2 linked regions of the Danio rerio genome follow. The protein of the gene in region 1 interacts with the protein of each later gene in a pairwise test. Links are inferred from orthologs where the notes say so. Each region holds a gene or a part of one and is shown on either strand. Other genes may lie near its edges.

The links.
Region 2: the proteins of nup58 (region 1) and mis18a interact in binary tests that used the Homo sapiens proteins (3 or more experiments, as listed by UniProt). The link is inferred for Danio rerio from reciprocal best matches to the Homo sapiens genes NUP58 and MIS18A.

Annotation. Positions count from the first base shown.
Region 1 is NC_133199.1:28,988,485-28,992,910, reverse strand, and holds the start of nup58 (nucleoporin p58/p45), read left to right. Parts: upstream 1-1,456; 5' UTR 1,457-1,700; coding exon 1,701-1,795; intron 1,796-3,116; coding exon 3,117-3,280; intron 3,281-3,395; coding exon of another isoform or gene 3,396-3,398; coding exon 3,399-3,428; intron 3,429-4,426. UniProt on the Homo sapiens protein: Component of the nuclear pore complex, a complex required for the trafficking across the nuclear membrane.
Region 2 is NC_133185.1:38,595,928-38,600,358, forward strand, and holds the start of mis18a (protein Mis18-alpha), read left to right. Parts: upstream 1-1,343; 5' UTR 1,344-1,389; coding exon 1,390-1,597; intron 1,598-1,872; coding exon 1,873-1,939; intron 1,940-3,038; coding exon 3,039-3,161; intron 3,162-3,270; coding exon 3,271-3,373; intron 3,374-4,431. Other genes in the region: eva1c (protein eva-1 homolog C), read right to left, coding at 405-519. UniProt on the Homo sapiens protein: Required for recruitment of CENPA to centromeres and normal chromosome segregation during mitosis.

The sequences.
Region 1 (4,426 bases):
TTTCTTCATTGTTATTTGATTAATCCTCTCTGGTTTGATGTAGGCAACTGGATACAATATATTTCAATGTTTCCTTCTATTTGTTGGGACATTGTAAATTTTGGACTACATTTGAACAACAAAAATGATGACTTAACTGCAAATTGTTAACTTCTTTTAATTAAATTCTTCATTCATAGTTGCACACTTTTGAAAACAGCTCCTCAGTTGATTATCTTTAAAAAGGAGTTTGCCACCTGACGCTTTCAGAATAATGAAGGGTAAGAAGGGTAAAATAAAATAGGCATAATGTATGATTTGTTTCAAGAATATGGTTTTATTTAAACCCTCACCAAGTTTTAGTTTGATGTCTGCGCAGTATGTTGATTATTTTTTTGTTAAGTTATTTAATATAAATTTTGTTTGTTTGTTTGTTTGTTTGTTTTGTTTATGTGATGGCTTTATATTTAAATTAATGTATATCTGACATGTATGGTGGACGAAACCTGCAAAAGCAATACATAAATACATAAATATGCATATATATCAATAAATGAGAAAAATTAATTAAGAAAATCCTACTTAAAATAAATCGATAAATAAATAAATATGCAAATAAAAAAATTTATCTTTTTATAAAATTCACAAATTCCTGTATGATTAAATATGTAAATAATAATAATGTGGGCTGGTAAATAATAAAATAAAATAACACGAATGTTGGAGGAATAAAAAAAATGCAATATCGAAAAGTTGATACCCCCTTTTTTAAAACCTTTATTCAGTATTTAGAGAGGCTGTCTGTCATTCATTAGAAGGTGGTCTTTATGCCATCATTGGTTGATCATTAGAAAAATTTTGCATTTGATTTTTTTTACTGGCTTCTGATGAATGACAGACAGCCTCTCATTACCATGTTGACCTGTATAAAGGTTGAAAGGGGGGTAATAAATCAACTTGTTGCATCTTTTTTATTCCTCCAACATTCGTGTAATTTATGCAATTATTTACTTGTCAGCACTATTCATTATTTTATATTAAATATATTTATTTATGCAGGTATTTGTGGATTTTATACATGTATTTTTTCATTTTTTTGCATGTTTGTTTATTTATTGATTTATTTATGCAGGAATTTCCGGATTTATTTACTCATTTATTGATATATTTGCGTATTTATTGATTTATTGTTTTTGCAGGTTTCGTCCTCCATCGACATGTCTCAGTCAGTTTGTGAAAGATTATGTTGGAATTGAGTTTGGCCTAAATTATTATGTTTTTGAAAGGCAAAAAAAATTATGAGAGAGAGAGAGAGAGAGAGAGAGAGAGAGAGAGAGAGAGAGAGAGAGAGAGAGAGAGAGAGAGAGATGTGAACTTGGAACATGGCATGGACCTTCCAAACCTGTAGGTGGCAATGTGGATGAACAAACAATGTTTGAATTTTACAGAGAGGAAACAGACGAAGAGGACATTGTGCGCGCAAAGCATTGAGCTGCAATATTTTCAATGCCTTGAAACGGATTTTAGTTATTTTAAAAACACTGAATTAGACCCCTGTTTCGTCGTTTAAAGTTGTTCGTTCAAATTTTCTTCATACCGTCCAGAATTTCGCGGCAGCTGCTTTTATTTTGCACCTTATGTCGTAAGCAGTGTGTTTCGGGCCTCCACGAGGTCACACCCGCTTGATTCTGATTGTCAAGTTTTGCAGATTTAAGTCCAGAATGTCTAGCTTTAACTTCGGCACAACTACCCTCGGGACCACCGGAGCACCAGCAGCAGCTGGAGGAGGAGGGTTTTCATTTGGAGCTGCGACCAGGTATGAGGACGAATTCAATTAATGTTTTTTTTGTACAAGTCGACGCTTTTCACAATAATTATTGTTTCAAAGCAGCTCCACAAAAAGCGCATATTATTGCATTACGATTACATTCAGAAAAGTTAAGGTTATTAGTTACCATAATTTTATTTGTTACTATTAACTTTAACTAATTAACCAGTAAATAATAGCTTTTAACTGTTAAAGTTATATATAAACATAGTTAACCTACAGTTATTTACTATATAGGTGCTGCATATGTGTACATGTTTAATGTTGCGTTTTGTTTTAATAAGTCTAAAAACTAGCTCAACATCATAGCCTGAAGTTATTGGTTCGTAACATTGCGTTGTATTTCTGGCTTTTTTGTTTCACTTTAGCTCTTTCAATGGTTACCTAAGTATTAACTAAATGTGTGTTGGTAATTAAAGCCTAATTTGGTATTGTCATTTTTTTGTAGAATTTAAGATTCAATTCACTTTCAGTGTTTGACAAAAGTGCACACTATTGTCCACAATTTAAAAATCAATTCATGTTTATTTATATACAGTGTTTTCTACAATGTAGATTGTGTCAGAGCAGCTTAACATAGTTCTAGCAATGTCCAGTTTTCAGAGTTTAAGTTTATTTTAGTTCAGTGTGGTTTAAATTTCACTGCTGAAAGTTCAAACACTGTGAAGCAAATCCACCGAAGCACAAGTCTCAAACCAAGCTAGCCAGTGGCCACAGTGGCGAGGAAAAAAACCTCACCAATTGACGAAGTGAGGGGGGGAGAGAACCTTGAGAGAAACCAGGACCTATTGGGCATGACTATTATTCTTTTGGCCAAACTTCCTGTGTGGACCTCGAGACTGGAGAAGCTGCAGGTGTGAGTAGGACACCAGCGGGAGGTCAGGCTACCCCACAGGATCAATTCGGGAACTCGTTTCTCACTGGTTTTTCAGAGATCAGTCTCATGCACTCCATTCATTATCCATGGCATCAGCTCGGGATATGGCCCGGTCCAGGATTATGGATACCTTGGGATCATCTCTTCACATGTCTTGAATGGCATTAATGACGCTGCATAATCTCTAGGGGCCTCAAAATTAGTATCCTTAGGTGGAAATAGAGACTTAAGAAAATGATTAGCATAGCTGCTGTTCATATTGTATTTAAACAAGATTCAAAAAGTGTTACAAATGAAAATAGCAGTGTAAAATGTATATTTGTGTGTTGTTAGTGAATTGTTTATTGTTTTAAGGTTCAGATATTTTTCTGTATTGTTATATAATAATTTTAGTAATATATATTTGTTTCATGTTTTTAATGTCTATTCCAGCACACCTGCTGCAGGCACAGGTGGATTCTCATTTGGAGGTTTCGGGGCACAGACCTCCACACCGGCACCCGCCACCACCAGTACCACCTCCACATTGGGATTTGGGACCAGTTTATTTGCACAGAAACCAACAACTGGATTCAGCTTGAGTACACCTGCCTCAGGTTCCTGACTGCTCTTATGTCGAAAACACTCCTTAATTTAGCATTTTGATAGAGTAATAATAAAATTGTTGTGGTTAATTCTCATTTTTGATTTATCATCTGATAACATTTTCAGCAGCTGCTGCATCCACAAGTGGCCTTTCGTTAGGTAAGCAATAAAAAACAATTTAACTTTCATTTGATTGTCCTGTTTAGTTCAAATGGTTATAAGCTTTTGCAATTTTTATTTGGTGCAAGAAACCAAGATGGGACATCCCATCTTTGAACATTTTTTTAATGTGAACAGAGTTTTAAGATTTAATGAATTTACATGTTTAAAATGACTTTACCTCACTTAACCAGGTTTTCCTAGACTCTGATTCTTTCTTTTGTCTTGTTTTGTTGTTTTATAATGCTTTAACAGTTGTTTGGACTAATTTATAATTATTTTACATGGTCTCAAATTACATAAATGGGTAATAAGATTTAGGATTTTATTTTATGTATTAGTGTTATCACACTGTATTACTGTAATTTGATACCAATCAGTACTGAAATTTAAAAAACCTCCCTTTCACATTTGAGCGCATTCTTAAACAGCGCTGATTTGCCATTGTGTTTATCTGTGCTCAACAGAAATGACTATGATCGGCTGTAAAGGTCATCAGTTCACCGAACTCATTGCTGTTTACTGAGTGTAAACACTGAGTGTAAAGCCGCAAATAGCAGCTGGTTTGTTTTAAGCTGGCATACGAGCGATCTTTATGGCTTTAAAATTCTTCAGTGTCCCTGTATCTGTGGTCACACTCAGTAAACAACAGCGAATTTAGTGAACTGATGACCTTCACGGCCAATCACAGTCATTTCTGTTGAGCTCGTGAACCCAATGGCAAATCAGCGTTGTTGTAAGAACAAGCCCAAATGTTAAAGGAAAATAGACTTTTTTTACATTTCCGTTACGAATTCCAATATTTTGAAGACACTATTATGTGTTATTTACTGCCGTTGATGTCTTTCTATTGGTATAATAGAGAAGTATTTATAAATATTTATATAAATGTAAATATTTAAATAATTATATAAATATGTATATTTATAAAATACTTTTTGATTTTGTTTTGCCCTGAATTCAGCTTATCTGAAAGCCAATTCAAAACTCTTGTCTTT
Region 2 (4,431 bases), on another chromosome or scaffold:
CTTTCTGTGTCTGTCTGTCTATGTATGTCTGTCAGGAATATTTAAAAGAAGAATGATTTGATGAGATTTTGACTTGACATAGACATTAAAATATGGGTTGGAGTGCAGCCCTAAAATACGAATTAAATGTCAAAAATTACTTGGGTTTCTGCAATTGTCAGGATGAAGCATTTAATTAGGCTATTTAAAGAAAAAAAAACCTAATACAATATAATATTACTTTTTATAACAGATCAGAGAAGTAATTTAATTTTGGATGAATACAGGCTACATAAATGACAGTGACATTTAATTTTGACAGGTTGTTTGGAAAAAATTAGACACTAATATAATATGCGTTCTCTGTATATGTAAAACTAATCTTGTACATTTATGAAACCTTCATGAATAGGTACTTGACTTACTTGAGAAATCCGAGAGTCCGTCCATTTCTTTGGTCCACAGTATGAGTACACTGTAAAGTATTTGAAGACAGAGCCCAGGTGCACGGCAGCTTCTCAGGTGCTGCGCTGAGATCATAGTAACAGTCTGCAATTATTTCTGCATCAAATCCGCGTGCATTCAAGCGCGTGCTGGAGAAACGCTCGCTGTCACAAACTCCCGTGTTCCTCTCCCACCTGCGGTTACTCTCACCCGGCTAAAGTATGTCTTCATACCGCGACTCGGACATCCCAGTCCTCAAGAGCCAAAGCGAACTCCTCGGTAGCCTTTCTCCTATAATTAAAATACAGTCAGAAGATTTAAGGCGGAAAGAAAACATTTGTAAGCGACGCAGTCATTGTGTTGAAGCCTGAAATGGGGAAATAGCAAGTGCGCAACAAGTCAGTGGTACCTGAAACCGGCGACTTTGCATTGTTATTCGGTTGTTGATGGCTTTGTGGTCACCGGTGAGACTTCTTATGGTACCAGGACGTGTTTTGACACCCAGAAAGTGATTTTTGAGTAGGATGAATAAAAATTTTGGACGGGGCGTGGCGGTAAATGCCTCAAATAGGCAGTGGGTAGGAGTTGAGAGGCACGGGTTTGGATTTTATAACCAATCTGATCAAAGTGTGTATTTTTTATATTTATTAAATAATCATTTATTGATTTAATAATTAATCAATTGAATAGTCAACAAACCATTTGCTTTCTGAAGCAAAACTTTATAAAGTCAACAACATTTAATTTAAAATATGTAATAAGTCAATAATATAGCCATATGTTTGCTTGTCTTGTTTTGAAAGTATTGTATTACATATGTGTTTGTGAGTTCGGTTAGATTAAGACGTTTAGAATGAAGTGAAAGTGTTTCTCCGGTGCAGCAGATGGCGCTGCGTGGTGGTCAACTTAGCTGCGAGTTCACAGAAGAACTGCTCCCGCGTACGTTTGAAAACACTGGGGTTTCAGATGGCTGGCAAAATTAAAATCCCCGATGAATGTAGCCATAAAACATACTCTGTTTGCGAGAGTTCCGCTGACAGCAGGAGTAGAGTGGAGGAAGATGGAGAAAGCGACGGTCCAGCGGTGTTTATGTGCGGCAAATGCAAGCTGCCAATCGGAGACAGTCTGTCCTGGGCTGGGAGCGATGATGAGAACAACCAAATCATGCTCAAACGTAACTATTCTTCCATTCAATTGTGTTATTTATGTAAAATACTAGTTATAACCATGTTTTGATCAAACATACTAGTTTTGTTTTGTTAAATAATTTCAAAATGTTATCTGTAGTCTGATGGAAATAATAAAAACAGTAATATTTGTATACACTTGTTTCAATTCTGAAGTTGTTTTACATTTAGATGTATATTAATTCATGACACTGTAACACACAGAGTTTAGCAGTAATATGTCTTAAAGCTTATATCTTGACTTTTACATGTGGATTTTTAGGGATTACTGACAACATTGTTGTAGGCAAAGAGCCATTTGTTTCTGGGACCCGAAAGGAGCTTGGATGGTGAGGATGAATTTTTCATAATTTACTGTCTCACACACACATCTTTGTGTTTGTTATATATACACAAAAGAGCAAGTGATTTATGTTATTTTGGTTTTTATTTTCTGACAAATTAATATGAAGTTTTAAAATGACAATTGAATAATACTCTTTTTTTGTGGCTGCATGTATTTATATCCTACCTTAATTCATAAAATTTGTAGGAAAGTATTACAGCATATTTAAAGAAGTTGGTACAAATTTTTCTGGCAAAAATATGTTTTTTTGCACTGTTTGGAATTTAGTTCATAATGAAAATGTCATAGTCATTGTTTGCTATTAAAGAAAAAGTAAAATTGGACTGGACATGCAAAAAAATCAACAATCCCCCACACATTCTAATGTCATGGAAAAAAATTACATTTTACTGCACTGTAAAAAGCAATTAGTTAACTTTTCTTTTAAAATAGTGAGTAAACCCTTTTCTGTTTAAAGTGATTGACTTTATTTTAAAAACTATGTTAATTCATTGGCTCAAATTAAGGTAAATAAACTATATTCATGGGCGTCACATTGACGCAGTGGGTAGCATGATCGCCTCACAACAAGAAGGTCACTGGTTTGAGCCTTGGCTGGGTCAGTTGGCATTTCTTTGTGGAGTTTGCATGTTCTCCCCGTGTTGGCATGGGTTTGCTCTTGGTGCTCCTTTTTCCAAAGTCCAAAGACATGCATTATAGGTAAATTGTTTAGGCTAAATTGTCAGTACTCTATGTGTGTGAATGAGTGTGTATGGATGTTTCCTAGTGATGGGTTGCAGCTGGAAGGGCATCCGCAGTGTAAAACATATGCTGGATAAGTTGGTGGTTCATTCTGCTGTGGCGACCCCTGATTAAAAAATAGACTAAGCCAAAGAAAAATGAATGAATGATCTGTTCATAATTATAAAGATTAAGTCAATTCAGTAGATCCAAGCTAAAACAGGTTTAATCACTATTTTTAAGAAAATTCTTTAAGGCAACAGGTTTACTCGCATTGTCTAGTCAAGTAACTAGTCACTTTTTACAGTGTATACCTTCATTGTTTAGATCAGCATCTGTGTAAATTTGTCTCTCGCATTCAGCCTTGTTGTGAATCTCACCTGCCGTGGCTGTTGCTCAGAATTAGGAGTCATGTACATATCAACCCCGAAAAAGCTGGATTGCAAGAGATCCCTTTTCTGCTTTAATGTGGAAAATATTGAAAGGTACATAACCTGTTGCACATGAGCTTGTATTGTTTTTATTTTTGTTAATTTCTAGATTTTTTTTTATTTGTGTTAATTCATGTGTATCATGTCTCGATTATGTATCTAGCTATGTAGTGGGAAGTCCAGGCCAGCAAATGCCAGAATTAGACAGAGAAGACAAACCAGTGACCCTGGAGTACCAGGACACTGTGCATCAGCAGATGACAGAGGTAAAGCAGTTCATCTGTTTAAATTATTGATATGTGAGCATGATGCAAACCAACGTAAATCGCCTTCTCTGCTCTCAAATAAGCAATTTCGTTATCATTGCATGTGGAGACATTTTTGGATTGGACAAGTTGCATCAAGTTGCATTTTTGTAAAAATTGCAGCGTGTTTTGTTACTTTGTTTGCACTGTGGGAAAATGTAGTGGGTTTTTTTATGTCTATGCATTGTAAGGATTTGCAGCACGTGTGCTGTTAAACCGATGAAGATCTTTTCTTAATTTTTGTGTTTTGTAATTGCATGTGTTTCTTAAATTGTAGCACGTTAAGCTCTCTTGGCCACCATAAAACATTTTAATAACATGAATAAATTTTAGCTAAGAGATAAAACGCTTTATTTTTAGGAGTCCTTTTTACGTATGTTTTTTGTAATACTATAGCAATTAGAATTAATTATGCATAAATTCATGCAACTAACCCTATCCATATAGTAAGTACATGTCATTAATGTTACTCATTAGCTAAATAAATAGTTAAATGGTAACAAGGACATCTTCAAAAAAAGTTTAACTTGGTTACGCTGCAAAAATCTTCTAATAAAATGTATTATATGAATCAAAACATGGAACATTCAAAGGAATGATATTATATATGTACACTAATAACTATACATTGTCATGCATTTCAACAAATTGAACTAAGTTTCTTGAGGATGTGTTGAGTATTTTTGAGAATTAGTTAAACTATAGTTTATCTACAAAATATCGAAATAATAACAACGAAAAAATTAGCTGATACACTGAACTGGTTTATACAGAACTGTTGGATTTATCTAGAGCATTTATGGCAAGTATATTATGAGTGAGTGTAATTAAAATATGAAAAAATTAACAGTTACTTCTAAGTGTATAAGTAATTAAATTGCAGTAACCAGTTACTTAGTAAGTCATCACACCCAGCAATGTACTAAAATACAGAAAGAATAAAAAAAGAAAAAACTAAGGTAAATCGATAAAAACTATATAATAATTATAAACTATATAATATATGTACATACTATACA